Lytechinus pictus: one gene and its partner. Each later gene encodes a partner of the first gene's protein in a complex. Links are inferred from orthologs where the notes say so. Each region holds a gene or a part of one and is shown in the gene's direction. Other genes may lie near its edges. The genes, in order: CXXC-type zinc finger protein 1-like and WD repeat-containing protein 82-like.

Region 1 (16,360 bases):
ATTATGCAGAGGGTGAAGTAACACAGACTTAACTCATCAATCAGCCAGGAGGTATTCTCTTGCAGTGGATAACCATGTATCGGTTAACTGAGAGGGCTATTTAGACAACTTCTGGCACAATTACATCCTTAAAATTGGCTCGCAGTATCAGCTCATTGCCGTTATTGGATCGTCGCTGATGAGCTATTTTTAGCCCCTTCGCATTTGCTGTGACGTCAAAGGTAAGCGACCGTACGTCACACTAAGCAAACTGTGCGGTGTATTGGGCGCTCGCTACTGCCTTATTTCTATACTCATAGCATGTTTGCTGAAAGCAAATGTTTCAAAGAAAAGCGTGTTTATTTTCAAAAATATATGTATATATATTAGTCCCAGTTTCGGATTTCCGTATTTGCGCCTACATTTTATACAACATACATGACGCAATTGGTGCTGATTTTTTTTTTCAGTGAAATTACTTCAATAATGTCGTAGTTGAAGAGGAAGTGTTTTTTTTTGTCACATGTTTATACCTGTTTCAAAAATTACTATCGCTTATATATATATACATATATATATATATATATATATATATATCAGAAATATCAGAAAACATATGTATATATATATTGTTCCTAAAAAGTGAAAAGTGAATGAAGGGCAATAATTATATTCAATTTTAGCTGCTCTGCCCTTAACAGGAACGATTTTAGTTTCTATTCCTCCATTAGTATAGGTGTCGCCAGTATTCAAATAAAAAGGCAGTGTGGATGCCAAAGTAAGAAATGCTCTTTCAATTATTATCTCCCTTCCTTTTTCTCCCTCTCCCTAATTTTAAGAATCATAGGGATGACCGGTCTTCCGGGGCATGTGCCCCCTATGGCGCTGCCGCCCCTAAGTTCCTCGTGACTCAAACTTTATCACCCCAGATTCATTATTGAAATAATAATTGCATAAGATATAGTTTCATATCTTATGAAGATAAGTACATGGACCTATATAGGAGAAAGGGCTACTATATACCTACGCTGCTATCTGATTTCATTATGAAACATATGCATGTGTAAACATTTCATCCTTACAACTATCATCTCCACGGACACTATCATTACCACTACCACAACCGCCATCATTACCACCACTACCACCACTACTACCACCACCACTATCTTCACCGTGACACCATAGTTGTCCCCACCACATTACCACCATCGTTATATTAGGGGTTTACGTATTACCCTCCACGCACTCTTATTCTTATCATCATCATCACCACCATCATCACCACTACCAGTATCATAATCATCATTATAATCATCATCATCATCATCATCTCCATTATCATCATCATCATCATCATCATCACCATCGTCGTCATCTTCACCATCATCATCACCATCATCACCACCACCATCACCATCATCATCATCATCACCACCACCATCACCACCACCATCATCATCATCATCATCACCATCATCATCATCATCATCATCGTCATCACCATCATCATCACCATCATCATCATCATCACCATCATCATCACCATCATCATCGTCACCATCATCATCATCATCATCACCATCATCACCATCACCATCATCATCATCATCACCAAAACCACCACCAACATCATCATCATCACCACCACCATCACCACCACCATCATCATCACCACCATCACCATCATCATCATCACCATCATCATCATCATCATCACCATCATCATCATCATCATCCATCATCATCACCATCATCATCATCACCATCATCATCATCATCATCACCATTACCATCATCATCATCATCACCATCATCACCACCATCATCCTATTATGGTGGAGCTCTCAGGCTCTTCAGCATTTTAAAGGAAATGAGAATATCCAGGATGAATAAATAAGAGAAAGTGTCCTTGGTTTTGATGATTCAAGATGATTCAACGCCATCATCATCTAGTTGACATTTCTGGCTACCTGGAAGAATCATTTGACATTTCTACTAACCTTGCACTGAACCGAATGAAAGCCGGTACAGCGGTGACTCAGCAATAGTCAGTGTGTATTTTTAAAACCAACACGGCGTGTCGCATTATGAACAAGCTTGCGATCAAAACATTGCGTCTAGTCTAGCATTTGAAGACCCCAATAAGGTGTACTGCACTATTTATTTTCTTTTAATTATTTTGATTGATCAATTTTTAACTCTTAACGAAAATGTGCTAGACGTTGTGTACTCTTCAGTGCTAATTGGTGACAGTCACATGTCAAGAGTTAAATACTACATGATAAATAATTTTTATAGCAAAAAAATTCATTATGACATTAATCCTATATTTTGCCAATTGTAATTTTTTGTATCAAGTGAATTTCATTACAAGATTCGGTATTCGTGATGTGATTTTCTTCCAGATTTGTTTTAAACGTAATTGCGTCAGTGACAATGATCATGAATTTGAATTATTAAAAGTTTTGGATCATCGATAGCGTATAGGACATTTTTTCTATTGAAGAGTGTATGGGGCCTTTATATCGTTAAAAGGCACCATCATTTCCTTTGAGGGTAGGATATGAATACCCCCACCACCGAAATTATATTATTTTGATAAAGAATCTTTCATATTGCATCGAATATTCCATTTTGAATATTAAATGCATGCTCTCTCTTAAACTAATAATAGCAAGCACGCTTTTGTTGTTTTTGTTTTGTTCTGCATTTTTTATACAGCTTTATCAGTAACATCTTATCATTGGCATAATGGGTCAAAAATTTCGAGGAGGCTGATTTGGCAGAACATGCCAAAACGTGCAGCATTTCTGAAAAGTTGCGAACGAGCGAAAATTTTGACCCTGCTTTCAAAGTGAAATCTAATTTTGTTTAATTTTGCCAAAATGAAATGATAATTTTAGATATTACCCCTTTTCTTTCCCTTTATCTTCTTTTTTCTTTCTTTATCATTTTTCTGTATAGTGGATTTTTTTTTTTTTGGGGGGGGGGGCAAAGGGCACATTCCCCCATTACCCGTTCCCATCTGAGAACCTTATTTTATGGGAGCTTGTTAACCTTTCTTGTAGCTACGTCATTTTTATATACTTTAAACCTGTTTTGTAACGTAGACTATACTACATAACTTATTACTCATCCGCCATGCATAACTACGTTATAAAACGACCTAGCGAGTCCATTAAGGTCATTAAGAGATGTGAATATTAATGCTGACGTCAGCGTTTAATTCTCTCTCTTTAAAATCTAGTTAAGTGTATTACATAACATATCGAACTGATAATATATATTTAGTAAGACTACGAATGATGTGTCATTCGAATGCTGAACTTTGTGATCAATATTATTCGGTTGTCATGGAAGCAGTATGGTGGACAGTGTAACGAAGGCATCTCTATTTTCTTCATGGTCATGGTGTTAAAATCTCTGTTGCTATATTGATTTTCAGTTATGGGTTGTAATTTATTCATATTTTTGTCATCGTTGATCGATTCTCATTAAATGTGTAAATTCATTTACGTCACCATTTCGGTTCAATGTCCTTATCATCAGGCTGTTGTAAACTGCATCTTGAAAAATAATTTTAGAAAGAAAACAAAAGTACATCGAAAGAGTAATATAATGTAATGTAATGTAATGTAAAATCCTATTTTGGTTGTGAATCCAACTCAAAAGCTAAACCATTTCCTTTTTTAAACAAAAATAGCTGTCCATTTCTTAAAAAACACTAATTTTTAATTTTTTTAATCGATACAATAATTATAGCCAATTAGACACCCTTTCCGAAGTCATGACATAGTCAATCACTCATTTGAAGAAAAAGCTGTTTCATGCTAACTTGCTTTGATCACTCGCAATTTTTGAGAAAAGTGAAGTGCACCAACCCATTTCTCCTTAAATTTTTGCCTGATTATAGTCACTGTGTAAGTATAATAACCAAGAAGACGATAGAAAATGGTAATGGTATTTTTTTTCTTAAAAAAAGTGTAAATTGTTTTTATTGTATACCTTCAGTATCATCACACCCGCTCCTGAAAGAAAAAAATATTTTAACCATCATAAACCACAAAAAAATTGAATTCATGCATTTTATATAAAAAATAATGGTGCAGCTGGTCGAATATGACGTCATAAATAAACAACTTTAAATCTTACTAACTTGATTAATCTTTGATGGATTTTTCTCAAGCTTTCACCATTTTTTTTCTATTTTGTCTGGTATTTTTATAACAAACTTTTTGTCAGGGTGAACTTCCCCTTTAATACTGGGAGAATGTTGGAGGTCAGTGTATAAAGTATATCCATACGAATGACATTTCCCATGGACGTCTAAAAAAGAAGAATTTTCTCAAGAACAGAGGAGATAGGTACACACGATCTTATCTAATTCTAATACTAATCCCACGTGTAAACTATTTGACACATATCCGTAGTATTTTGCTCCTTTTAGCTGGTATTATAATACTGTAAAAGATACTTTGGGCGGAGTTTATTAAAGAATACAAACGTACAGAAAATCCGTTTGTATTTGCATTTTTGGGGCCCGCTCATGCAGACGCTGTATTTACATGCGCCCACACAGTCATGCAGTCAACACTAACATGTTGGTATAAAAGGGAACTAGTCGGTAAAAATAGAACAGTCCTGATTCGGGACAGCCCGCGGACAGAACGAGGAAGAAGAGACCAAAACAAGGAATCGTTACTCCAAAACTGCCATTAAAACTATAGTATCCGCGTTATCATTTTACGGAAAACATGGATGAGGGGTTTTCCCGAATTTCGCCAGTTCACATTTTTTACCGCCAAAACGACACTCGTTTGGTTATTGAAACCTGTACTTGATAATTAATCAATGAAGTATAACATCGGACATGAAATGGTATACTATCAGAAAGGGCGGAAACGATGGTTGCGCTCTCGTCAATTATAAAAAAAACTTGACTTTGTTATTAAAGTAATTAAACACATCCGTAAGGACTTACGGTAAAACCCCACAAAATTTTCGTATTCTATCTGTCATCCTGTGAAAATCATTGTTTCTTTCTTGACTTTTCCCCGCCTATTTATTATTATCATTATTATGTTTTTTACTTTAGTTACCCTATATCTTAAAATGATATTCACTATGAGGAAAATTGCAGGTTTTTACACACCTCTCTTTTCAACAGCAAAATAAACAATTTTTATTAAAAGGATGTTAAGATCGTGGGTAATAATCCCTAAATGGCAATATACAGTATGGTTTTATTTATACTGATTATGCAGCCCCGAGGCTGAATTGGATTGAATTAAAAAGAAATACAATAAATAAAATACACATTAATGACAATAAAATTATCACATTAATGACAATATTGCACCGTATAATATCATATGATAAAAAAAGAAAGATAATATTGGGGCAGACAAGTGTGGAAAAGAACGAAGGGCAACATACTGTGAAAGATAGATGGAGCGAGAAAAATATAAAAGGAAGAGAGAGATAAAGCCAGTGAGGGAGGGAGGGGATACAAGGGGTATAAAAGAAACAAGTTATTATTATAGAGGAAGGGGATGAGGAAGGATAGAAAGAATAATGAATTTTAAATCTAAGTTAAAATTTTCTTTCATCCGAAATAACAGTTACTGCATGATTGCATTATTGATCAGGAAAGAATAAGGGACAGAGACGGTTACTTCCATTTCAGAATTAATTATTCAATTATTTCTCATCTTATTTTGATATTTATGATCTAAACATCGATATGAAATAGATTAGACGCTTGTGAAAAAGAAATAGAACAGAAAAGTACACAACGAAAAACTTAAAATGCAAACATGGATACCCCCACCCACAAAAAAAAGTATGCGATGATTATTTACGGTAAAATTATAGAGGGCGCTAAACCACGTCAAGCGACGATGCGGGTTCGATTATTAATATTTCCAAGATTGTAAACTAAGCAGATCGAGCTCCGAAGACATCCTTTTACCAAAAGGACGCAAAATGATGGCTCATATTCTGACTGTTTTATGTTTTTCGTTTATCGCATCGTTTATTTTGAAACCATATCCCTGTGAAAAACAAATAATAGCTGGCATAGTTGTAAAACAGTCACACATTGCAAGAAACCCAATGAGCGCTTTACACACGAAGAAAAAAAAGGGTTCAATATTTTTCCCTTTAAATGTCACAAATGGTGCTCTTTTGGGGCACAATTTTTTCATATTGATATTTTTTAATGCGCCTCTGAATGTCCATGTCGCTACATTTTGCACTACGAAGGATGCATAGTTCTACCCTTTAGGAAAGGTTCACATTTCCATCCTTGCACCATTTTGGGTGCAAACAAGGTAAGCGTAGACGTAACAAAAAGGTGCATATTTTCACCCATTTTATGTGCGGGTGCACATTAGCACCCCTTAGGGTGCAGAAATTTCTTAGGGTGTACAGTTTCATTTGGATGATTTACTATCGTCTAAGCAGAAAGTAATGACCAAAAATCTTTAAAAAAAAGAAGTTTGAGATAACCAATTATATTTTGTTTTAAATGTCTTATTATCATGTATAATTGTGGAGCTCGGAAACAAAACTACAGTTCGCTTGAAAACTATCAGGAAATAAAAGTTCTGGAGATTCTAAGTCAAACAAATAGGCCTTAGCCAAACAAATCTTTCTGAGAGACGATGGAAACAACACCAGACCGGATCTTTGAAAACTCCTGCTTAACAACAAAGCAGTTTGGGTGTATTGTATTTCTCTACAAAGAGGTATATCAAAAACAGGATAAAGGATATACTCATAAAAAATCAATTATTTTGAGTAATTATTCAAGGGTGTAGTCGCTTTGGGCCACATCATCTCCTTAGCTAATTCAATAGTGAAGATTATGTCCCATTAAAGATTGAGTTTATATCCGCCTTAATACAGCACTTAGAAGTCAATCACATAGATTTCCCTTGATTGATGTCAATCAAAATTGATTGAAATTTCCAGCAACGGATATTTGAACGATTCATCCATCATTTCATAATTCATTTTATGACATTAATCCCAGGCCTGCATTAATCCACTGATTTATTCATCATTTATCATTCATTCATTCATTCATGAATATTCATTCATCCTTACTTCATTAATTTATTCGTACTTATTCATTCATTCATCATTAGTTCGCTAATGTAAAATATATCAAGCACCGGCGTAAATCCCGGGGGGGGGGGGGATGGGGGGGGATATATCCCCCCCCCACTTTTCGAGGAGGGGGGATGGCCTGTACAAACATCCCCCCACTTTTTACGAAAGTAATGAAGAAAAAAAACATCACAAGAGATAATTGTTTTATTGGTGAAAATTCTTCCTGAAATACCGCTTAACAAATAAAACAATATTATTGAATCATAAAATGCAAATAAAGAGCCAGTTCACCATTTCCAAACGAAATACATATGTCCTTATCATAACATTGAAGAAAAACTCCCGTTTCTTCCAATTCATCTATGTTGTGGTCTTTGGGAAGGGATTAAGATGAAATGTCAATTCTTTTTTAATGTAATCTCTAATAAAACCATTAAACCATCATGGGGTAAAAAAGATAATAATATTGGAGGGGTATTTGCCATATGGACACATTTTACAAGCTTTGCTTTTCAGTGGACCCCTCCATTCTTCTCATGATATATGATTATATTGATTAAATTATATTTAATTATATTGATTATATTGATTTAAATTTGACATGCATGTTAATTTATATTTGAATCACTTATTGAATATGTATATTATTTATTTAATGTTGAATTTTGTTCATGCTTTTATTTGAATTGAATTGATTTATCATGTAATTATTTGTATTATGTTGAAGAATGAAAATAAATTGAATTGAATTGAATTGAATTGAACAGTGGCGTAACTACGGGGGGGGGGCATGGGGGGCACGTGCCCTCCCAATCGGCTGACCAAAAAAAAAACGGGGAAAAGGGGAAAAGGAGAAAGGAGGGAGAAAGGAAGAGAAGCGTGTAGTGGGAAAGAAGAAAATATTATTCATTATAATGTTATATTATAATTATGTTATGTTACATTACATAAGAAACATTTTTATCATAACTTCGTGAAACATTTGCCCAGGGCCTACGTCTTCATTGTTCCCGGTGCTTGTATTGTCTGTTAACGAGATATATAATCCTGTTGTACTGAAACATCCCGTTTTCAAGTCAATATAAACCAAATATATAGCACTTGAGTTATCATTGTTTTATATTATAATGTTATATTATAATTATGTTATGTTACATTACATAAGAAACATTTTTATCATAACTTCATGAAACATAATTTGCCCAGGGCCTACGTCATATGCTTCTTTTTCATGACTCAAAAAGTGATTGCCCCATGTTAAGGTCTTCTTATATATGAAACATTTCCTGTCCGTGATTACGTTCGCATTAGTGGATTGGTAAGATATGTCTGCTCTTCATGAATTCCTAAAATCAGTCCTTAAAATGTCCCTTCTTCTGATCTGAATATCAAAAATTTTCAACTCGCGTTTCGCGCTCGCATCATTTGGATATTGAATTACGTATGGTCCTAGCTAATTCCTACAAAGAAACCTTAGAATGCCCCACTTCAGGTCTGAATTATCTACATTTTCAGCTCGCGCTTCGCGCTCGCAATATTTGATTAGTAGTGAGATGCGTACGATAATCATGATTGCAATGACTACAAAAAGTGTTTCATGTGTTCAGATGTAATTCTTATAAACCATCAAGCGCTTGGCACTCGCATTAGATGACTATGGTGAGATATGCATACTATTAATGGATTCCTAAAATATATTCCTCAAAATCTCGCTGTTTGGGGTCAAAATATACGAAAACTTCAGCTCGCGCTTCGCGCTCGTATTGTTTAGCGAGACAGGTACCTATCATGATTACACAAATTTGATTATAATGTCTCTTTTTAGGTGTGAATATAAAAAAATTCAGCTCGCGCTTCGCGCTCGCATTATTTGATCATGAGATGCATATCCGTTTAATGACATTGTCCAGAAAATGTTTCTATTAGGTCAGTATAACTGGCAACTGAGCGCGCTCACTCAGTGATTCAAACATTCGGGGGGGGGGGCCACTTCCATTGACGAGTGGATACCATGCGCGACCATGGGGTCTCGAAAAGCACCCTAAACACGTATTTTCCATATTCTGAAAATGCACCCCTTAACAAGTATTGGCGTGTGAAACCGTACCCTTAACAAGTATTGGAAACAAAACGATACTCAAAACGATACAATTTTCCCTGAAAAGAACCCCTAAACAAGTAGGGCCTAAAGTGATCGATATGTCGCGGGTCCGTCGGTCGTCGGTTTTACCTTTACACATCATTTGGTTAAGTACGGCCCCACCTTCCACACCTCGCACAAATCGGACTCTAAACACGTAGTGTTGGGGCAAAAAGGACATCCTTAATAAAATATTTTAATTTTGTTTTATCATCCCCGCAAATTTGACCCTAAACACGTAGCTTTCCTAGCGAAATAGATACCCTTTTTTCACTATTTTTGTGTTTTTGACACCCTTATCACGTTACATACGTAACGTGCCCTATCTTGAAAAAGACATCCTTTTTACGTGTTTTTTTGGTCGCGCATGGTATCCACTCGTCAATGTAAGTGGCCCCCCGGGCTGGCCGCCAACCGTGGACCATGCACGGCCACTTCGCCCCGATCCGCCTATCGCGCAGGCCATGCCAAGGAGCACCGTAAGGAGCCCGCCGGCGCCAAAGAGGAGAATGTTTCATGTTTCGGTTGTCTAGAATGGTTGACTGGGTTAGTTGCCGTAGGTCGAACTGCTCGCTCGCGAGGCCGAGGTCGAGGCTGTCTCTAATTCTCGATCCGGATCGACATTCGACCCGACTCCCGTACCACAATTTCCAGCTAGCGACTTGATTTGTTTGGCGCCGCACAACCCAAGAAATATGGAAGATTCAGTTACAATGGAAGAAACGAGCGTGAGTAGATCATAGAGTGTATAAGAATTGCAGCTAGTGTTACAATTTGCCTTATTTTCGCTGACACATCTCTGACTTTGGGCCTTGGCTGTCTGCAAGTGCAACTACAATGCCGGCGCATGCAATTCTTATGCACGCAGATCCAAATGTGTTTATCACAATTCTGTGAAAAACTAGTTCAAATTGTACAGGAATTAAATCACCGGGTAGATGTACACTATTGGTCTATAGCAAATTTGTTGTGCTTTTCATGTTTTGAACTTGTTGTAGTAGGATGGGGGGGGGGGTCGGGTGTCCAGACACTTTATAATTTTGAAGCCTTCTTTTTTGTCTTTTACTCTTGTATTTGTAATCATCTGCTCTTTTGTTCTCTATATTGCCTTTTTTAATTTAAAGAATAATTTCGCTTGTTAATTTTTACAAATGACTGTTTAAAGGACAAGACCACCCCAGAAAATTATTGATTTGAATCAATAGGCCTAGATTAAAATCAAACAAGCATAACATTGAAAATTTCTTTAAAATCTGATTAAAAATAAGAAAGTTATGACATTTTAAAGTTTCCCTTATTTTTCACAAAACAGACAGTGATAACTGATATGCACAACTCGGTGACATGCAAATGAGAGAGTCGATGTCCCTTGCTCACTGTTTCTTTTGTTTTTTATTGTTTGAATTATACATTATTTTAATTTTTACAGATTTACCAATAAGGACCAATTTGACTTGATCATAAACTGAAAATAATGGTAATTCCACATGTTCAGGGAGAAATAAAGTTCTGTTTCACTGACAATGAGGAGAAAAGTATAATTTTTTATATTTCATATAAAGTACAAAAGAAATAGTGAGTGGGTGACGTCATCACTCTGCTCATTTGCATACCGACCAGGATGTGCATACAACTGTTTTTTTAAATTAAGTGAAACTTTGAAATGTCATAACTTTCTTATTTTACATCGATTTTGATGAAAACTTCAGTGTTATGCTGGTTCGATTTTTCTTCTTTTAATAGAATCAAATATTTATTGGGGTGGACTTGTCCTTTAAAATTGAGAGTTATGAGAGTAAATATTTGCTAATGACTAATTTAAGGTCACTCTTTTCCTTTGTTTTCTTCAGTAATTCTGCATGTAAAAGAGAAGTTCACTCGGGCAAAAAGTTTATTGTAAAAAAAACCCAGGAAAAATATAAGAAATATTGGCGAAGGTTTGAAGGCACAGTGGCATATTGTCCATAGACTGTGTACAACAGATAGACCGTCTCGGCTCAGCGAATCGGAGACTGCTGATTGGCCAATCGCGCAGATCACGTCATGACTACGTGGTCGCCAAAATAATTCCTTCGGACTGCGTGCGAAAGTATCGATAGCGATAATGATATCCGGTCACATTGTCTACCCGGGAAATGGTCTTGGTTCGTGATCGGATTGCTCCAGTATCGATAAAAAATAATCGAGACTCAGCAATTTCATGCATATTCACGCGACGCTCCGAAACCCAGAAATCAATTGACTTTGTACACGTTGCGATAGACTCTACAAACTCCTATGAACACGATGCCATATCGACGCTAATTCGTAAGATTTTGACGGAAAAGCAAGAAGTAATCGAAATTCGCTTACCTGTGGTGTATTGGTGAGAAAATAGATCCTCCGAGAATACCTTTCATAATTCATATAAAATATAGGAAAGTGAAATTCTAGGTCGATTTTGGTACGAGGTGATAGAGAATTGCACACTTGTTTTGGTGGAATACTGTGTGGGGCAATGGAAGGCTTGCACTGCGCATGCGTACTATATTTTCACTCATAAATTGGCTCTCGGCAGTGGCTGGATGACGTCATGTAATAAGCAAAATGTACACGCCCGCTAGCGTTGAACGCACCGCTATCGGTTCTATACAATTTGCCACTGTGGAAGGAAACCCATCAAAGAATGAAGTTATTAGCATTTTTATTTTTTGATTTGTGACATCATATGCGAGGAGCGTTCCTCTATATTGTATGGTAAGAAATAAATGAAATATAATTTTTCTCAGAAAATCTAAAATGAATTAATGATTTTTATTATACCTTCAATATATCAATACACAAGTTATTTCACACCCGCTCCTAAAAAGAAAATATAGAATAAGTCATCAAGAACCATTAACAATAAAATTTATGCAACTTATAATAAACATATTGGGCAGCTGCTCGCTTATGTCATCACAAAGCAAAAACTTGAAATTCTAATAACTTTCTTAATCTTTAATGGATTTTCCTCAAATCATCAACAATATTTTGTATTATTTCTTCTGCTCTTCTTCCCACAAAGTTTTTGTCAGGGTGAACTTCCCCTTTAATGGAACAGTAAATCTACTCTGTCTCAGTTTTACCAGGAAATAAGTGACCATTTTTCTTTTTCTAATAAATTAGGATAATGAAGACTCGACAGAGCTTTCATCTTCCTCAATGGGCTTCACGATCCTACCAGAAAGACAGGCGAAGGTCGCGACCCTCGTCAGTATGATCGAGAAGACGGAAAAGGACAAGGACACAGTGAAAGAGAAGGTGGTCAAGACGGACAAAAAGCCCATTGAGAGTGGACCAGGAGGGCCCTTCCTGGATGAGAACGGGGAACCTATTCTATACTGTCTTTGCAGGAGTTTTGATTGCTCACAGTTCATGATGTAAGAATTTAAAATCATTGCAACTAATTAAAGGGCAAGTCCATGCAACCAAATTGGATTTGAAATAATAGAGAAAAATAATAGTATTGGTGAAAATGACTTCAAATTTGGATGTAGTATAAAGAAATTTATGGCATTTTAAAATCTCACCTAATTTCACAATTTTTTTACAGTTATATGCAAAACACTGTGATAGGCAAATGAAAGAAAATGGATGATGTCACACACTCAATATTTCTTTTGTATTTTATTTATATATATGAAATACAGAATATTTTAAATTTTTTTATATTAAGGATTCCGAAGTATCTTCAATTAATGGCAATTTAATATGTTTTGGGAGGAATCAAACCTTGTTTCACTTGAGAGTCAAAGTTTTGTTGGGGTGGACTTGACCTTTGATTATGGTGGTTGGTATTCTATAGTGCACTTTACACTAGGTTAACTTGTAAACACTACACTTTAATGGGGTGTCACTTGATAACTCATTCATTGAGAACAGATTATTTCAATACTACAGTGAAAATGATAAAAAGGATTAAAACTCTGAGAAGAAAAAGATAATCTGAGAATGAAATGTTTCTTTTATAAAAATTAAATAAAGCAGATTCTCTATTACTTTGGAATGAAGTCTTGTTATAAACTATTTTGTGTTATCTTTTCCAAGAAGATGCACTGATAAGAATCAATAATAATAATGGCAGAATGTATCTGATACAATAAAAAAGTATGTAACATTATGTAAGTGCATGTCAGAGTCAGACTCAAAATTGCAACAACAAAAAACAAAAAATTATGTACAAATCCAGTGTAAATATATCATCCAGTATACTGCATAAAATTTATTTATTTATGTTTATTATTGAATAGTGTTGCATACTTATTCCATTTTATGAACGAATAAAAAGCAAAGAAATGTATATGAAAAATTTATGAAATAAGCTATACAGGAAACCAATTTGTATATCATAATATTTTCATAGTAGATGTGCCAAGGAGGCCACCAAGAGTGCCAGACTGAAAATTATCATGTACATTCGGCCCTATATCCCTTGGATTAATTGCAGTTTGATTTCCGTGCATCAATTGGCCTAATCATTGACATCACACAATTTTTCTAAAAGAAATTACTATTCTGTACATGTAGAAAATGTAGATTATATGCAGTGAGCAACATGCACGCCAATGTTCGTGCTGATTGTGCAGTTAACAGCCAACATACCCCCCCCCCCCCACCTGGCTGTATAGTGTACCAAAATAACCCAGATGGGTGTTAAATTTAGCTGTTCATAAGATACGAGCAACTTTACAAACAAATGGTGATCCTTGTGGTAAATGATACATACCAGATTTTCATTGGTGTTGATGTTGATCCAAATCACCAGTCGTTTGTAAAGTCACTCGTAAGTTACAGACAGCTTTATGAAACACCCTCCGGCCTAGTTAGGGTCGATGCATGGGGAAATAAAATAAAAAACCGTACAATGTAACAATTAACAATTAACAATTTTCACTTCCCATGATTTCAGCATATAATTTACAGAAATTTCCCAAGTTCAACTGAACTTCAGAATACAGTAATAAAATAGTTATATTGTAACGTTGTAATCTATTTCTTGGATCATGAGACTTTTTTCCCTATATTTCTTTCTAGAGCATGTGATCATTGTGAAGAATGGTATCACGGAAGATGCGTCGGTGTGGAGGAACCTGCTGCTAAGTACATCCTCAAGTATGCCTGTCCACCGTGTAGAGGTGTGTAAGCACTTGTTTTGTTTTAAATCCTCTGGACGGCCACATGATGTTATTGTTTTGTTTATCCAACATTTTTGTAAAGAAAAAAAGAAATACGTTAATCAGCAGCCTTGAATCTATTGTGGATCGGAGGGGATACCAGGGTAGGAGTCAGTGTAAACACAAGTGTAGTCACAAGAATATCAAATTTTAGATAAGAAATCATGCATCTTCTCCAATGATACTATTTTGCCAAAAATAAATTGTTATATGCTTGGCCGAAGGAACACATCTCTTATAGGTTTGATTGTTCTAAAGTAAGCAAGGTATGATACGTACTAACATTCATTTGGTTCAAAATGTATTCTTCAAAAAAACTTCAAACCCTTTGTTGTTATGGTTTCCAGAGAAAACTCCAGGTCTGTCGGTTATCTACAAGGAAAGGAAGGAGAAGAAAGAACGGCCCAAATTGGACAACAAGCCAAGCGGGAAGAAGATCAAGAAGAAGAAGAAACAGCTCCTGAAAGAGAAAAAGATGAAGATGAAGTTGAAGAAGGAGAGAGAAAAGAAGAAGAGACGTAAGAAGCTGAAGATGATGAAGATGAAGGAGAAGAGTAGTGCAGCGAGTGGCGTTGGAACAGGTGCCTCTGAGGCTGATGCATCCGGGGACTATTCACCCGCTTCTTCTGGTCAAAAACTCACTAGGCCACAACTGGTAAGTATGGTAATGATAACATTGATGTCTTGATGAATATGCTGATGATGATAATAAATGATGATAATGATGTTAATGATGATAATGATAAGCAAGGCTCGACATTAGCGGTGGCCCGGGGCCACCAGAAAACCACCTCGGGCAACCATTAATTAAAAAATCTTAAGTTTTGGTGGCCCGAATCGGGCAACCAATAATTTTCAGAATAGCGCAATTTTTCTCCCCATTTTGCACGCATTTATCAACTTTCTATAATTCAAATTGCAAGCCAGTTCGTCATGCGCCCTTTTTGTTGATCTACACACAAACACACACACACAAAGTTGGCCTACCGCTATAGCATTTAGTAGCTTTTATCCAGCCAGCTGGCGTGAGCTTTGCATGCTTGAAGCAGCTGTGCGTTAGCGTATAGCAGCCTATTCAGACTCAGGGAGCTGCAATACGAAATGTTGCTGCTAAGAAATCTTCCACAGAACTGTGAAAATCCAAGTCAAAGTCACATTTTACACCAATGAAATGCCCATCTACAGACCTTTTTGCTAAAATCTGGTGTATCCTGATTATTTGCAAGCATTAAAAAGAGGAATCATTACCTCTCTTTTGACTCAAAAAGACCGATTTCCAAATGAAAATAATACACATAAAAACACATAGGTGAGTACATCACAGTCCCACATGTGCATTTGTATGTATGTTGTTACTTGGTTTCTTTCGAAGCTGTGTCTTTTCCGGTCTTTTCTAGCCAAAAATAAACAGACAGTTACTTTCTTTCTTGTTTATAAATTATTTCTTAAACAACTCTTGAGAAAGTAAATACTTTGGGAAGGCATTTCATTAATATGAAATGTGAATTTTTCCAACATTTTGGCAAATTTAGGGAAGGAATTTTCTCACACTTTTTTTTGCTGTTTTATTATTTTCTTTCATTTTTTTACAGTGGTTAAACCATTTATACCCATTTATTCATTTTTAATGTTTTTCTTTATATTTTTCGGGCCACCAAACTTTAATATCGGGCCACAAAAAAAAATTATTTGAAGATTTTGGTGGCCCGAACGGGCCACCACCAAAAAAAGTTAATGTGGAGCCTTGTGATAAGTATAATTGTAATGGTGATGATTGTGATGATAGTAGTGATGATAATAATATTAATAATGATTATAATGATGACAATGATATTAATTATAATTATGATGATGATGATGATGATGATGGTGATGACGATGATAATTATAATAATTATGATGATGACGATGATGACGATGATGATGT
Region 2 (16,624 bases), about 51 Mb from region 1:
GTTCCTGTATTCAAATAAATAGGCCGACACAGTAGTCTAAGGGAACCCGTTTTCTTATTTTAGCAAAACTGCTGCCAAAATACTAGTTTTCCAGTTTATTGTAAACGAAATCATTTAAATCAACTTGCAAGTTTGTCAAAACTTTGCAAGCCAATGCTTTGAAACAGTCAAATAGTTCCAACTATGGCTCAAAGAAGAACTTAAAGGAATTGTCCAGGCTGGAGAAATTAATATACATGTATCAATAAATAAAGTAAAATTCACAGAGTAAAATACTGAAATTTGATCAAATTTTAAAGATTTCTTTTCGATTATTCCGGTAAAACATTTCTAGGCATGTCTTCATGAATATCCGTTAGTTGGGCTTATGATGGCATATCTCCACTTGTTCTTTTGATTATGATTATGTGAAATTAGGTTTATTAAAAAGGAATTTACCAAGAACTAAAAACAATTGAATTGGCAACTAATTAAGTACATTAGTTATTTATTGCCGCAACTTATTTCATCATAATGGAGACACATTATTTACACATGTATAAAAAAATGAAACAATTATGATTTCATGTTATAAGAAAAAGGAAAGAGGGGATGTGACATCATCAACCCACCAAATGAACATTCATGACGATGTAAATATAACTGTTTTCACAAAATACTGATAAACTTTAAAATACAATAACTTTGTTATTTGTCATCCAATTTTGGTGAAATTTTCATCATTTTACTCTATTTATTTAGATCTGAATATTTTCAGCCCGGTCCATTCCTTTAAGGTTGATACAAACAAAAATAAATGCAGTCGGTCAAAGCTTTGAAAGCCAATGCTTTGAAACAGTCGTTCCAACTGTGGCTCAAAGAACAACTTGGGGTTGAAACAAACAAAAGATAAATGCAGTTTTCTTTAACATGTATATGATCTTCAATCCTTGACCTGAAAATAAAATTTAAAAAATATATCTCTTTGGAGAACTTGAATCTCTGAGTCATGGAATTCTTCCAAATAAACTGATCCTCATTAAATACCAAGAGCTTTGAAAATGAGCACCAACTTTGCATGTTTGCAGCATTAGCTGTACCAAGACAGTTCCTTTGAACTAATAAGTAGAAGCTCTCTACATGTACTTTAGACACATCAGAAAATGTCAGCTTCTTTACGGCTTTAATATTTTCTATAAATTATATTTTGACTGGATTTGATTATGAAATAGTTAAGAATAATTTTGGTGGTGAAATGCATAATTTTAAAATTGATGTCAGTGTGAAGGGTTATATTTTGGGTGTTTGCACTTTGTTAAAAAAAATTGTTAGAAAAAATCAGATTGAAATTTTAAAAAATCTGATTTAAATCAAATAGATCCGATTTAGGTTTATATAAAAAAATTGCCAACATTTTCATTCAGCATACTTTTGAGTTTGAAAGTACCTGATTATCACATACATTATGGCTGGCATAAAAACACTTTTAATACAAAGGTGAACGAATGTTGCTGGGCATGAAAACTTACACAAGGCTAATTAATATCAAACTGAGCTAACATAGCAGTAAAACAGGTTGAATACAGTAGCACGGAGAAGTGACTACAAATACAAGGTCCAATCAAGAAACTATGGTTAGAAGTTAATTCCAAACAGGAACAAAATAAAACATAGCTATCCTGTTTGATTAAAAGTATGATAGTTTACAAACTTACAATCGTGAAATTTAAGATTTTCATTTTGTAAACTATCATATTTAATATTTAAGTTCTGAATTTTATGAGAATGGTCACGGTGTTTTTGAGTTTGATAATATTTTGGGTTTTAAGTACCATATGATAAATGTTTTAAGGAATACTGGTTTAATTTACAAACTTAAGCTTAGTTTGCTTCATAAAAATCTGATAACTTTATACCATTCCATGATTTTCTCTTATTTAAAATATTGCAATACCAATGTAACCTCATATGAATTGGACTCAATATTCAAAAGAAATGTTTAAGAATAATTACCTATTCTAATAGCACCATCCGCACCTTTATTTAATAAGCGAGAACTCACAATATTTATCTATAAGTTCAAAAAGAGGTAGTTGTTACCCATGTAGTTTTCAGATCTTTTTCAATGCAATAATCAAGTTCATAACCATAATACCCGTTCTTCCAATAAATTTCATTTATGGTCTATTAGGTCTATAGTCACGAAGCTGAGTTATGTAGGTCCCAAACAATGGAATGAGATTCCCCAAATAATAACTAATTCACAATTTATATATTCTTTTAGAAAACAGTATTCAAATTTTCTAGTAAATTATTATTAATTCTCACACATGATATCAATGCATACTTGTAACGTATCTACCCCCCTCAACTCGTGTTTTTTTCTCCTTTTTATATACACTATTAACTATAATGATATGATATTCTGTTTTGTATTAATGTTGTTTTGTTTTTACTATGTTTTGGCGAGCCTCACATGTTTCTTATTACCTTCATGGGAAGCCACGCAATTTATTTTTATTATCTAATCACATTATTTGATGTTTCCTTGTATTTTTATCCTATTTGCGAAATAAAGATTGAATTGAATTGAATATATATATAGAGCTATGATAAAACCATCCACTATACCATGAATACACAATTGGTTTGGGCCATGGAGCAAGGTTTTGGCCATACATGCAGCTGCTCAGTGGAATGTCATATGTAAACACTGTCTGATGACATGACCTGAGCGAGGGTATTACATAATAACCCTGCTCATGGCTCTGTGGTTGAAGTAGGGGATTGTCTATACTCATCAGTGGTCATAAAATTTGGTTTACAGACAGATGAAGTTATCCAATGAAAGCTCTCTGAAATTTTGGGTGGGTGGGACTTATTTTGACCGTGGGAACAAGATTTCCAAAGAAGAAGCAGACTCTGAAATGGCTCGCTTCGCTCGCCCTTTCAGGCTGGTTTGCGATCCCACTTCACGAGCCATTCAGAGTCTGCATAGCAGACTAGGTCCGGCCCTATGGGTCTTCATCCCCTCGAATGTGACGAGTGTGCGTGCGTACAAAGTCGACTTTTTTATGGGTCAAAAGTGGCCGCCGAGTTGAGTCGACGATGTATGCGTGACGACCACTGAACTAGAAATACGTGGAAGTCGTGTTCACCCAAGCAAAACATCGCCGGCGAACTCGATAAGTCACGTGACCGCCGCCATTTTGCTAGGTCAATTGTTCGAGAACGCGCCGTAGAAGGCAATTGAAAGTATGTGCAAGATGCAATATGTTTTCTCTATAAATATAAAATTAATACTGATGTACTTAGTGTGGCAAAGTGTATTTTAATGTCAGTAAGCCAATCATGTACAAACATATTTCTATATGCACAATGTACTGGGTCCTGGTAATTCATGTAGTTTTAAAAAAGGGTTTAAATCAGGGTGACCAGATTTCAAAAAATGAAATACGGGACAATCGATAAAAAAAAGATCATCAAAGAAGGCTACACAGTATTATACTTGTGAAAAACTATAAAGAATTGGAAGGGAGGGTGGGAGGGTGAACGAAAGAATGAAGGAGAGAAAGAAAAGAAATGAAATGAGATAGAAGAAAGAAAAAAACGAAGGGGAAAATGAAAGAAAGTAAGAATAATTAAAAAGACGATGAAAGAAAGAATAAAAGAGAAAAAAAGGTTTCCGTTATTCTTTGAATTCATCGAATATAGAAAGAAAGAAAAGGAAAGAAAGGGAAGATGTGTGACAGACAAAATATAGGTGAGAAAGAAAAAGTAAGAAAAAGAAGGGAAAAAAAGAATGAAGGAAAGAAAAATGTTTTCATTCTTTGAAAGAAAGAAACGAAGAAAGATCAGAAAACAGGAAGGGGGGAGGAAGGGAGGGAGGGAAAGAAAGAATTAGAAGGGAAAATAGAATAAAGAATGAAAGAAAGAATGAAAGAGAGGGAGGAAAGATTGGAGGGAGGAGAGAATGAAAAAAAAATGGAAGGAGAGAAAAAACGAAAAGAAATTAAAGGTGAGGAAGGGAGAAGGAAGTAAATAAAAAGGGCAGATGAGAGAAAGAAGGAAAGAAAGAAAATTAACACACAGACTGGATCAGGAAAGAAAGGTAGGAAATATTAAAAGATAGATGGAACAAAAAAAGCAAGCAGGAAGGATAGAAGGATGAAGAATAAAAATGAAAGAGGAAAAAGTTCAAACTTCAAGCAAACAAAAGCAATCCAATCATCTAACAGAAATGATAATGATATATTTGGTGTTTTTTAGATATATATCTTTAAAATTTTGAAAAACGAAGTGGTTTAGAAATGAATAAAATTTCAAAGTGAAACATTGTCAACTTACAAATTAGAGGAAACAGCGCCGGCATCCTACACAACAAGACTCAAAACGAAAGCTAAATCAACTACATGTAGATCCAGTTATGAAAACTAAAAAAAACTTGTTCCTCCTATTAAATCAGTAATCTGAGAATCTATAATATATGATCATAAAAATTTCCCGCCGATTTTGCGATTATTTTGGTGGAAAAACTGTTTATCATGTGAGATTGTTTGCACCATTGAGAATCTGCTCCGATCCTACATGCATAGAGCCTGCCACACACAGGCAGGAAGCCAGCTCGTTTGCAATGTAGGCCTATTGGGTTAGGATAAAAATCACCCGCAAAACTTTGCAAAAGTTTAGTTATCGATTTATTGTTGTCTCTGTTTCGTCATCTGTTAAGTTATTAGATGAAAATTCGTCACTTTTAAATGTATCAACTACATTTTGTTCAATATTCTAAAAATACGGGACAGATAGGTGTCCCGGGAAGGGTTTGTCGGGACGCCGGGACAAAGGAGCAAAATACGGGACGTCTGGTCACCCTGGAAATATTTGACAAGAGGTAGTGGTCTTTTTGTGCAATTTTTGACATGTGGAATATTTCATATATACTGACCAGGATATGCATATAATTATTTGGTATGTGAAAATAAGCGAAATTTAGTGCCACAACTTTTTAAATGGAATTACCATTGCTATGCTTTTCTGATCTGTGCTCTAATTAGTAAACTTGTTAGAGTTGAATTTGTGTATCCATCACCCCTTCCTTTATGTAAAGGTGTATTGATGTATAAGCACATGTCGTGCAACATCCATGCTCTTCCAAATTAAAATTTCATAAGAATTCAAATTATATTGTGCCCATTTTTATATACACTGTACTTATAGATATTTCATGGCTGAGCACACGAAGGTCCAACTTTGAAGGCACATTAAAAGTAACAACCTTCTTGTCCTCAAACTTCTATCCAATTTTTCACCCTGAATGTGTGATTGAACAGTATGAGAGGGAGGGAAGGGAATATTTACTCAAAATTTATATAGAGAAAGTTGAAATGAGAAAGGCAAAATGGTAAAGATGCAGCCGGAGAGAAAACAAGAAACAGACGATCAACGAGAAGAGATGGAAAGTAGAGGAAGATCAAAGAGAGAGAGAGAGTGAGAGAAAGGGGGAAATGACGAGGAATGAGAAAAAGGTGAGGAGAGAAAGGCGAGACGAGAGGGAGATAAGAGGGCTTGATATAAGGGAGATGGGGAAATAAAAGAGAGATATAAGGGGGATATATAGAAAGGGAAGGTATAGAGAGGGAGAGATGATAAAGAAGAGGAAAATCAGAGAGAAAGAAGCCAAAGAGAAAGGAAAATTAATAAAGAGGGAGATCGCGATGATATAAAGGGGAGAAATAAGAGAGAGAGGGGCATGAAAGTAGAAATGGAAGAAATAGAAGGGGATGGAGAAAAGGGAGGATAAGAGAGATGGACAGAAGAGGAAAATCAGAGAAAATGAGATGAGATGAATAGTTGAATGAGAAGGGAGGTTTAAAAAAAAAGCTAGAGAAAAGGGACATGATTTCTAATCGTTAAAAGATTTTTTTTTAATGCAACCAGCTTGTAGGCCTTTATTGTTCAGACAAATTGTAGGCCTACTCAGAAAGCAAATTTGTTGTTGGGCCTTTCTTTGTCATAGTGTGCGCGTGAAAAAGGTCGAGTTTTTATGATTTCATGTCTGTATGTTTACTCCCCTTTACATTTTTTTAATAAAAAAATGTGACTAAATCAACATTTTCAGTTATGAAAGTATTCAATAACATATAGTTCATGATGTAACAAAGCAAACTAAAACTTTAAACAGCACAAGGAACACTTTCTTTGCGTTCCTTTCTCCCATCTGCCTTCACGCAGCATTTGTCGACTAGCCAGTATTGACCTAGCAAAATGGCGGCGCGCTCAGTCGAGCGTGAAGTCCGATGCTCTTCGTTGCCGCACGGCTTTGTGTACGTTGGGAATAGGGACACGTATTCCACGTATTTCTAGTTCAGTGGTGACGACTCGCTAAAGGTTCCACGGGCCTAATTACATCAGGAAGGCTAAAGATATTCGTTCGACCCAACCCATTCGAATTTTTGTCAATTTGATATTGCTGATTGTCAAAAATGTATAAATATGATTCAAAATCTAACACTGATTCTAAAAATGGTAACTACTGAACTTCCTTTGCCCAAATTGGGAAGATAAATAAGTGACTTGGAACTATTTTTTGACTGGCGGAATAATTAGGGCTATTTTACTGTTTCAGTTGATGAATTCGATCCATTCATAGTTATCTTCATAAATGGCGATTTATTTTTAAAATGAGCTGGCTACGGTACCCTATCCTGGTCAGATTTGGAATGTCAGATATATAACCTATCCATTGGTAGTAAACATTCCACCCTCTAATTTCACATTTATTTTTTATGAATTTTTCAAAAGTGCCATTTTAACACACAAGTCTATGGGGAATGTTTTACGCGCGTGACACCTGTAAGTAATATGGGAAATCCCTAGTAGTGGATGGTATACCTGGCCAAACTGTTCAGTAGCAAACAATTTCTCATGCACTTATATCAATATGTTTAGTCATCAAGTGGTGCAAAAAAATGGATTTAATGGCTAGCAGGGCTACATCAGGTAAAGTTAGTAGGTCTGGGTAGCCTAGGAATGTATGTAGATTGGTCAATGTATAGAGTCAATGCCTCTTTATGTTCTGATTTATCATTGTTTTGTGTTAGTGTACATCACCTACTTAGCATTAGAAAGACCTTTAGAAATTGCTCATTTTAAAATTGTTCTTAGGAAGGGGGTAGGTAGAGAGGAGGTAGAACTTTGAGAACTTTACTGAAGAGAACTAGAGTGGTACCTTCAAGAAGGAATTCAGAAAGGGCACAGAGTAAGGTAAGGTATCTAATAGTGCTCAACTAAGGATGAGGGGGGGTGGCTGTGTGCTGCAATCTTAGCATAGCCCCCCCCCTCTTTATTAAGCCATGCCATCTATAAAATTATCCTTCTTTCTCTCTCTCTCTCTCTCTCTCTCTCTTTCTATCTATCTATTTATGTATCTCTTCCTTCTTACATTTGAGAGGCAACGTACAGCCCTAGGAAGATTTTGAATAGGTCAAATGCAAGTATACTAAAGTAGTATCTCATTCTTTTATTGTTTCCTCATCAAATCTCATGTATATTTGATATTTGGTATATGTTTGGGGCAGTTCTGGTATCCTGATATCTACACAAAATTTACATACACCTTTATATTAAAATTGATAGGGACCTATATTGTCATTGCATTCACTGTTGGGCTATATGCAGGTAGGATTTGTATACATCCATATATAGTGAAAATAACATGTATGAGTAACACATTAAAATGGGTCATTGCATAGAAAATAGACATTTTCAATGCATTTATTTGTGCTAGTGTGAGTGTACAGATATATAAGAATAGCAAAGTAGCTATTCAAAAAAATAAAATTCATAGGTCCTATAATATAGGTTCCACGGGCCTAATTACATCAGGAAGGCTAAAGATATTCGTTCGACCCAACCCATTCGAATTTTTGTCAATTTGATATTGCTGATTGTCAAAAATGTATAAATATGATTCAAAATCTAACACTGATTCTAAAAATGGTAACTACTGAACTTCCTTTGCCCAAATTGGGAAGATAAATAAGTGACTTGGAACTATTTTTTGACTGGCGGAATAATTAGGGCTATTTTACTGTTTCAGTTGATGAATTCGATCCATTCATAGTTATCTTCATAAATGGCGATTTATTTTTAAAATGAGCTGGCTACGGTACCCTATCCTGGTCAGATTTGGAATGTCAGATATATAACCTATCCATTGGTAGTAAACATTCCACCCTCTAATTTCACATTTATTTTTTATGAATTTTTCAAAAGTGCCATTTTAACGCACAAGTCTATGGGGAATGTTTTACGCGCGTGACACCTAAAAAACGAACGACGATCATATTTTGTTATGTTGCAGACCAACGAACGTAGAGGGCAGCAACACACAAGCGTGTTGCTCTAAGGAAGGTCAACTCCGCTCGAATTTTGTGACCACTTTAAAAAATAAGGTGGGGTTTTGGGAAATTTGTCGAGTTGATTTTTTTTCATTTGCTAATTTCAAATATTTTTTAATGAACAATTATTTAGATCGGTTATTCTGGGTATAAATATTAAAAATATTACTTTTATTTTTAAAGAAAATATTTAGCTTAAATAATCATGATTTTGACATTTGTCCTCATTTTGGAATATTAAGCCTGTGACGAGGATACCTCATATCTCTTATTTTCTTCTGCTGAATTTCGCTGCACCACTAATAAATGCATAGACAACCACCGTAATAATCGAGGTCATTTTTCTGGCCTGGGTGTGCCGAGTCTGGGCCGGTCGCGCAGCTAGCTAGTGACGTTGATGATGCGCTGGGGCTTCAGGCGACTCGTCATAGATCTAGCAACTTAGACAATGACGTCTAATTTGCCTGGCCTGATTTGAAGTGTAATGGCTTCAGGGCTGATGTTTATCAACGATGATTGTTCAAGGTTAGATTTCAAATTTTAAATGTCATTTGACTTTTAAGTCTATAAATCTGAAATAAAGGCGCTGTATCCCCGAAATCCGGGTCTATAATTTCAACTCTGAGTCCGAGACCATGGCATGGACGGCGAAAAAACAACCCATGCATCGGATGCATTGCATTGGCTGCGCGCTGCGCTGCAGCTGCACTGTGATGATGGGTTCAGCGAAGAGCTCAGAGAAAATAAGGTGGTTATATTCAATCCCGAAATGCTTTGCGAGTGGTCACAAAATCGTCTCGACGCAAATCACCTAATACAGCCGTCTGGTGAAATCGCTGATATCAACAATCACCGATTTGGTAATGATTTTAGTTTCCTGAAACTTATATTTGTAAAGTTTTAAATATCAAAGTATGTTTTTATATGTATGTATATTCCTCAACATATTTTTTAAGTTATCTTTGGTATTGTTGTAGTCATATTCTTTCATATTCGTTTTTTGATCGCTACTAATCTGTTGTTGTATTGGATCGGCATTTGATTTCGTTGGCATGAACAATAAAATACGCGCGCAGCTCAGCTGCATGCGCGTATCGAGTTGACCTTCCTTATAGCATGCAACACGCTTGTGTGTTGCTGCCCTCTACGTTCGTTGTTGCAGACGTAGACTAGACGTACACTACATACACTATACAGTACACGCGACGAGTTTAATCCAAGTTTGACGTACATGTATGTAGTGACCGACCAAACCCCGACGATCGATCATAACAGGCAGATTTCAGAAACCCAGCTTAAATTCAACGAACTCAAATCTTGGACTTGAAATTGAATAATCATGAAGTTGTCCGACCAAGTAATGAGAAGCTATCGTGTTGCGAAGCTTTTTAAAGACCAAAACACGGAACGGATCAACAGCATCGACTTCTCACACAACGGAGAAACGCTGATATCGAGCAGTGAAGACGATTCCATCGTAATTTACGATTGTTTAGAGGGAAAGTAAGTGGTGCATGCATGGTGCCGGTGCTGCTTATACCTTGGTCACATTTGCTCTACGGCGGCCTTACGGCGGCCGTAGATACCTGAATTCGAGAGATTTCTGCGGCGGCCGCAGAAAATCTGCGGTGGCCGCAGGGTCGACGTATGGCGGATTCCTACTTTTTACAGGCCGTAGAATTTTAACTCGGAGTTAATATAAGTATAACATTTTTTCTTTTCTACGCTCGCCGTAGAATTCTACTAGAAATTAGACTAGGGTCACTAGCCGTAGGCATGGCGTAGAACGGTCTACGGCGGCCGTACGTCGAGCGTACGGTGGCCGTGAGGCTGCCCTCGTGTTTTTCTTCCCTCCTTTCCCCTTCTCCTTTTGTGTTATCTGCTCGGGAGCCACCAGGTGCGTATTTAGAATTTTGCACCTCGGGGGCCCGACCTAGGCTATAGTATAATTTTGGCCCATATGCATGTGTACTTTTCAGAAAAAAAATGGCGACCCCTCCTCGCCAGGCAAACGGGTGCCTTAAATGCATGTTGAATTATCTTATTTCATAATCACATGAAAAAGGGCAACTGCAGATAATTAACTGCAGACCACTTTTTTAATGATGACTTGATAAAAAGTAGTTTCTATCCTAACCCAGAGAGCTCCCGCCCGCTGCGCGGGCGGGAGCCCAGAAGCTTACCGTGTATTTGACCATATTCACCGGACTAGGGTGATTTATGGTCTAAATATTTCTCCAAATGAATTGTGAAAACAGAAAGTATACAATTACCACGATTATATGGATGAAGGTCTAACGAGTGGCAGTTTCCTGACATCTGGGCACAGACTGGAACCTCAAAAAAACGAAAAGTTCTCTCCTCTTCGATCGGCCATTTTGTTACGATTTTTAACAAAAATGGCCGATCGAAACGGGGGTAGAAGGAGAGAACTTTTCGTTTTTTTGAGGTTCCAGTCTGTGCCCAGATGTCAGGAAACTGCCACTCGTTAGACCTTCATCCATATAATCGTGGTAATTGTATACTTTCTGTTTTCACAATTCATTTGGAGAAATATTTAGACCATAAATCACCCTAGTCCGGTGAATATGGTCAAATACACGGTAAGCTTCTGGGCTCCCGCCCGCGCAGCGGGCGGGAGCTCTCTGGGTTATTTCTATCCATGAATATGATGTAATACCACTTTTTTTAAAGAACAAATGTGACCAGGAAGCACAGATATTGCCCTTTCACCAGCGGCTAACTTGGGTAAAATTATTATTATTATCATTATCATTAGTATTATCATGGGGAGTTAAATGCTGATTTTTGTTGTTTCCTAGGGTGTAATTCTTACTTAAGACTAACGCGTTTATTAACATCTTAACTTTATTCATACAAACAAGTTAACATGGTTAAGGGAGATTTATTTCATAAGTTCAAATAAATAATGCGAACGCGATTTTTGATAGCTTGTGTATAGACCTGGAAATAATATTCTGAGAAGTTTTGTAAGCATGAGCAGGATGGGCATCTCTCTATCTGTCAGGGCGAGCTGAAAATTGTCTATATTCCAAAATGACCCAAAGTTTGGAAATTCTAAGCATTATTGGTAATCATGAACAGGATGGGCACTTAAAAATTATTCGATCCGAGCGCGAAGCACGAGCTGAACCTATTTTATATTCCGTTCCAAATTCTACACAATTTTGGTAATCATTAGGTAATCATTAACAGGATGTCCATCTAACTAATCATTCGATGCGAGCGCGAATCACCCCAAAGGTCGATTTGCCCCCCCCCCCCTTCCTAGGTCGAACATTACCTATCGTATAATATTCAGATCAGTGTCAAACATTAATTTGGCGACCCCCCCCCCGTCCTAGGTCGAACATCAATTTGCCCCCCCCCCCCACTTTTATTACTCCACCTTTTCCCTTTTCTCTTCTTCTTGTTTCCCCGTCCTTTTTTATCTCCCTTTTCTTTCCCTTTCTTTCCTCCCTCTTTTTGGTACCCCCTTTTCGCCTACCCGGGGGCCCGGGCCCTGAACCCCCCTCCCTCCCATCCAGAATACGCGCATGGGCATGGTGCGACACTTTGAAAACTTTCTGAAATGAAATGTCTAATGTAAAATATCATGATGAGTATGACAAGCAATTCATGGTATACTCACTGTATAGTCCCCCTGCGGCCGCCGTGAGGGCGCCTTGCGGCCACCTCGCGTCTGCCGTAGTATTTGTCAAAAACCTACGGCCAGCGCAGGGTCGCCCTAGGGCGACCGTACGTCATGATTTCAAGGACATACGTCAGCCGCTGATTTTTTCTCCATAAATTAAAAAATATGCCGTGCGGCGACTGTAACATATGTGACCGCTAGAGTAAGTGGCCGTGGAAATTCTGAGGCGACCGTAGAATTGCTACTCGCCGTAGAAATTTTAGAATCTACGGCGGCCGTAGCAAATGTGACCAAGGTATTACCTCGAGCGAAGTTCGTGCAGGCTCCACTCCACTTCACTACCGCTACACTGACTAAGTCTACGGCTACGCTCCACCTACCCGAACTTCGGGACCGTGAACCTGATCTGATATTCCGAGTGACAAAGGTGGGGTAAAAAAGTTATTTATTGTAAAAATTATAGAAAAAAATATAATGAGAAAGAAAAATAGCTTTATTTCTTACTCTACACCCTTATTTCACTCCGTGTCCATCCTCCGGTTATGCTCAAAATTGGTGATTTTGGGCCAGTATCTAAATTCCTCACACGTATTATTCACGGCCGATTTCAAAACATCGCATGCGATCGGTTGCAGGTCAAACAGCATAAATATTTACGGTATATTTGGATAGCTCAGAAAATACCAGAAATATTCTAAGAGTTTGGGAAAATATTCCACTGATTCGTGGAATATTATATTATAATTATGGTGTATTAATTGGATAGCTCAGAAAATACAGAAATATTCTAAGAGTTTGGGAAAATATTCCAGTCACTGATTCGTGGAATATTTTCCCAAACTCAAAGAATATTTTTGGTATTTTCTGAGCCATCCAATATAATATAAATATTTATGCTGTTTACTCTACACCCCGCGGGCTCTACACCCTTATTTCACTCCGTGTCCATCCTACGGTTATGCTCAAAATTGGTGATTTTGGGCCAGTATCTAAATTCCTCACACGTATTATTCACGGCCGATTTCAAAACATCGCATGCGATCGGTTGCAGGTCAAACAGCATAAATATTTACGGTATATTTGGATAGCTCAGAAAATACCAGAAATATTCTAAGAGTTTGGGAAAATATTCCACTGATTCGTGGAATATTATATTATAATTATGGTGTATTAATTGGATAGCTCAGAAAATACAGAAATATTCTAAGAGTTTGGGAAAATATTCCAGTCACTGATTCGTGGAATATTTTCCCAAACTCAAAGAATATTTTTGGTATTTTCTGAGCCATCCAATATAATATAAATATTTATGCTGTTTGACCTGCGACCGATCGCATGCGATGTTTTGAAATCGGCCGTGAATAATACGTGTAAGGAATTGGATACTGGCCCAAAATCACCAATTTTGAGCATAACCGGAGGATGGACATGGAGTGAAATACATGTAAGCAGTAGAGGCGCACGGCCAATATTGGAGACTGTCTCCAATGTGGGAGATTGTCTCCAATACAGAGACTTTTGTAAAGAATTTGGGTATCCAATTTCAGAGACAGTCTCCAGTTTTGGAGTCCAATTTCCTTTGTTTACATTTGCTGCAAAAGGATTAACTTGGCGGCAAATAAAAATGTGATAAGCAGATTCCTCATGAAAAATTACCCCTTTTCACCGTCTACTTTAAAAATTCACCATCTACTTTTGTTTTGATAATGATTTTTGTTGTCAATCACACACAAAACAAATGGGCTTCTGACCTCAGTGAGACAAAATTTTGGGTGGAAAAAATCATGCTTTTGTTGGTGTTGTTTCTTTTGTCCTTTTGCAAAGCAAGTCTCCAATGTGGGAGATTGTCTCCCCTATTGGAGAGAGTCTCCCATATTGGCCGTGCGCCTCTACTGGTAAGGGTACGTGTAGAGTAAGAAATTAAGCTATTTTTCTTATTTTTTTTTTTTTTTCTATAATTTTTATAAATAACTTTCTTATCCCACTTTGTCCCTCGGAATATCAGATCAGGTTCACGGTCCCAAAGTTCGGGTAGGTGGAGCGTAGTGTAGCGGCAGTGGAGTGGAGCCTGCCCAAACTTTGCTCGAGGCAGGTGCTGCTACTGCGCGGCAGCCCAAATCGTGGCGCTAATAATTTGTGGCATGCAGTTAGTTTCGCAGCGCCTGACTTCGATTCGAGCAAATTTCCCCACCAGAAATTGTTTGCAAACGTTACTCATGATCGATGACTTACTTAGCAATGGCCATGCGCATGCAGTAGCACTCATTCAATGAACAAGGTTAGGATATAACCTTGTTCTCAGTTACATCTCTATGTGTGGCAAAATAAGGTTGACAATGTTTGGATTATTTTCTCTTTTGGACAAATGCTTGATTTTTTTACACTGTCAGTTTCCATTACAGCTTTTCATTATCTAACTTGGCTCTTAAGTAAATTTGATTCTTTAAATTTTGTTTTCTTCATTAAAAATAGAGCTTGAAAAATGAACATTTTCTCGCCATATTACTTTCCACCAATAAAGGGCGTACACAAAAATATCTCAAAATTCAAGTTTTTGAGCGCTCTGGTCAATACAAAAATTATTCTAAGCTACTAATGAAAATTGAATTGCAACTGTATGGAAAGTAATAATTTTGATCACAAAAGTGATATTTTAATGATTTTTTTAAAGTGTGTGCTCAATACAGCATTGGCATACCATAGTCCTACCTGTAGATTCTCCACAGGTAGAGACTAGTAGAGGCGCTGGTCAGAAAACTGGGATCGTCCCAGTTTACAGGGACTGTCTCAGTTTTTAAAGATTTCTTCACACAAGAAATCTAGGAAAGTTCATTCACCTGTCAAGTGCCGACACCAATGAATCAAGTGTGCTAGTCAATGTAAACATTAAGCCTGAGTCGAATCGATTTTAAAATCGGTGTTCGATCGATGTCATCGAGCGCCGGTGCAGATTTTGCAAAATCGGTGCATTTAAAAAATAAAAATAAAATACGTTGGCCGGCCGATTCGTTTGGTTCACACAATCAATCATCAAAAATCAAAATAACAGTAATGTCCAACTTGACTACTACTTACTTGATTTATATTGCCCCCAAAAAGAAACTGATTGTTTAATTGTGATGCCTATTCACCATTAATTAGAAATTTATTTCGATCATAGTTCGAGTCTTACTCGTCTGCTCGTGCCGAGATAATTTATGCACGATGAATTCATGAATGGAAGTCGCCATCGATCGTGCACGCGCAGTACTGTGCTTTAATCAAACCAGAAAATGGCCGGAAAATTGGCGCGATCAACGTAAAATAAATCTTGCTTTCATGAACAATATTAATATCATGACCATAGAACACGATTTAATCGTAATAATTAACAATAATTCGCATATGATAATCATTAATATGAATTAAGAGCTTGATGTGAAACGTTTGTATTTCGTATCAATTTTCAATGACGGACATCACATGACGATCGACTTGAGTGAGTGCACTTGTCTAAAAAAATAATTATCACGTCAGGATTGATTCTCGAACATTGTCAACATGCAGAAACTCTTTTCAAGATCGTAATATTACCATATAATAACATTTTACGTGACAAAACAGAGAAAATTGCGTTTAATATTTTTTCCCATCAATTTGAAGCTAGCTTGTGCCCAACTTTGGGCTCTGATTTCATGAATGGAAAATATGTCATACGTCATCGAACGCGCATGCGCATTGTGCTTCTTTTCTCGGAGCTGGGATCCGGAGACGTCGTCCAGAGATGGAATAAAAATAAAGATAATGCCAGTATAATACTATTAATTCTTCCATATAAACATAACATACTTTGCTGACATCGTCATTATTTTTAGTATGGCCATAAAATCTTATTAAATCGTAATTATTTAACATCCAATAATAATTTATATGAATTTAGAGCTCGATCCGAGACATTCGTATTTATTTCGAGCGCATGCTCTAGTGTCTGACTCTAAAATAAAGAATGGATTATATCAGGACTAATTCTCGAACATCGTCATAACTCAAATTCCACAATATTTCCTCACAATCGTTATGTCAGCATTGAATAGCAATTCAAATGACCATCCAGAGAAAATTACGTATTTATTCCCATCAATTTATTTGGAGCTCATTTTGGATCCAACTACCCCGCCAACTACACAATCTCAGGCAAGTTACAGCACTCTCCGCTGGTCGCACTTGTTTGCTGGCACTGGCAAGCACGCCTGTCGTTTCGGGAGAGTGAGTGTACGGGGCTGGTCTGTGCGAGTCTGTGCGAGTCTGGACTGCGATTGCTAGTTGACCGAAAATCATTCGGATCGACTCTGCGTGATTCATGTCTTTTATATTGTTTCATTTTAAACTTATATGTTGTCATCTGCAAATATCATTGTTGGAGATATTTTTGGAAGAATTCTGCATTGGACCCCGGCCTTTTTTGTGTTTTGTGATGATGGAAAATACAAACAAATTTTGCTCCGTCATCTGCTTGTGCAATGCTCACCCCGCCAGCGCATACCGTCAGTGCATGCAGTGCGTGCATAGCGCATCGAGGCGACGGCCGGAGCAAAAAAAATGACTCGATTTC

The links.
Region 2: CXXC-type zinc finger protein 1-like (region 1) and WD repeat-containing protein 82-like share a complex: the UniProt entries of both Drosophila melanogaster proteins name them as parts of the SET1 complex. The link is inferred for Lytechinus pictus from reciprocal best matches to the Drosophila melanogaster genes Cfp1 and Wdr82.

Annotation. Positions count from the first base shown.
Region 1 is NC_087247.1:14,226,575-14,242,934, reverse strand, and holds the start of CXXC-type zinc finger protein 1-like, read left to right. Parts: upstream 1-9,787; 5' UTR 9,788-9,933; coding exon 9,934-9,966; intron 9,967-12,385; coding exon 12,386-12,639; intron 12,640-14,293; coding exon 14,294-14,394; intron 14,395-14,780; coding exon 14,781-15,088; intron 15,089-16,360. UniProt on the Drosophila melanogaster protein: Component of the SET1 complex that specifically di- and trimethylates 'Lys-4' of histone H3. Essential for Set1 association with chromatin and trimethylation of histone H3 at 'Lys-4' at transcription puffs.
Region 2 is NC_087247.1:65,189,286-65,205,909, forward strand, and holds the start of WD repeat-containing protein 82-like, read left to right. Parts: upstream 1-9,474; 5' UTR 9,475-9,717; coding exon 9,718-9,881; intron 9,882-16,624. UniProt on the Drosophila melanogaster protein: Component of the SET1 complex that specifically di- and trimethylates 'Lys-4' of histone H3.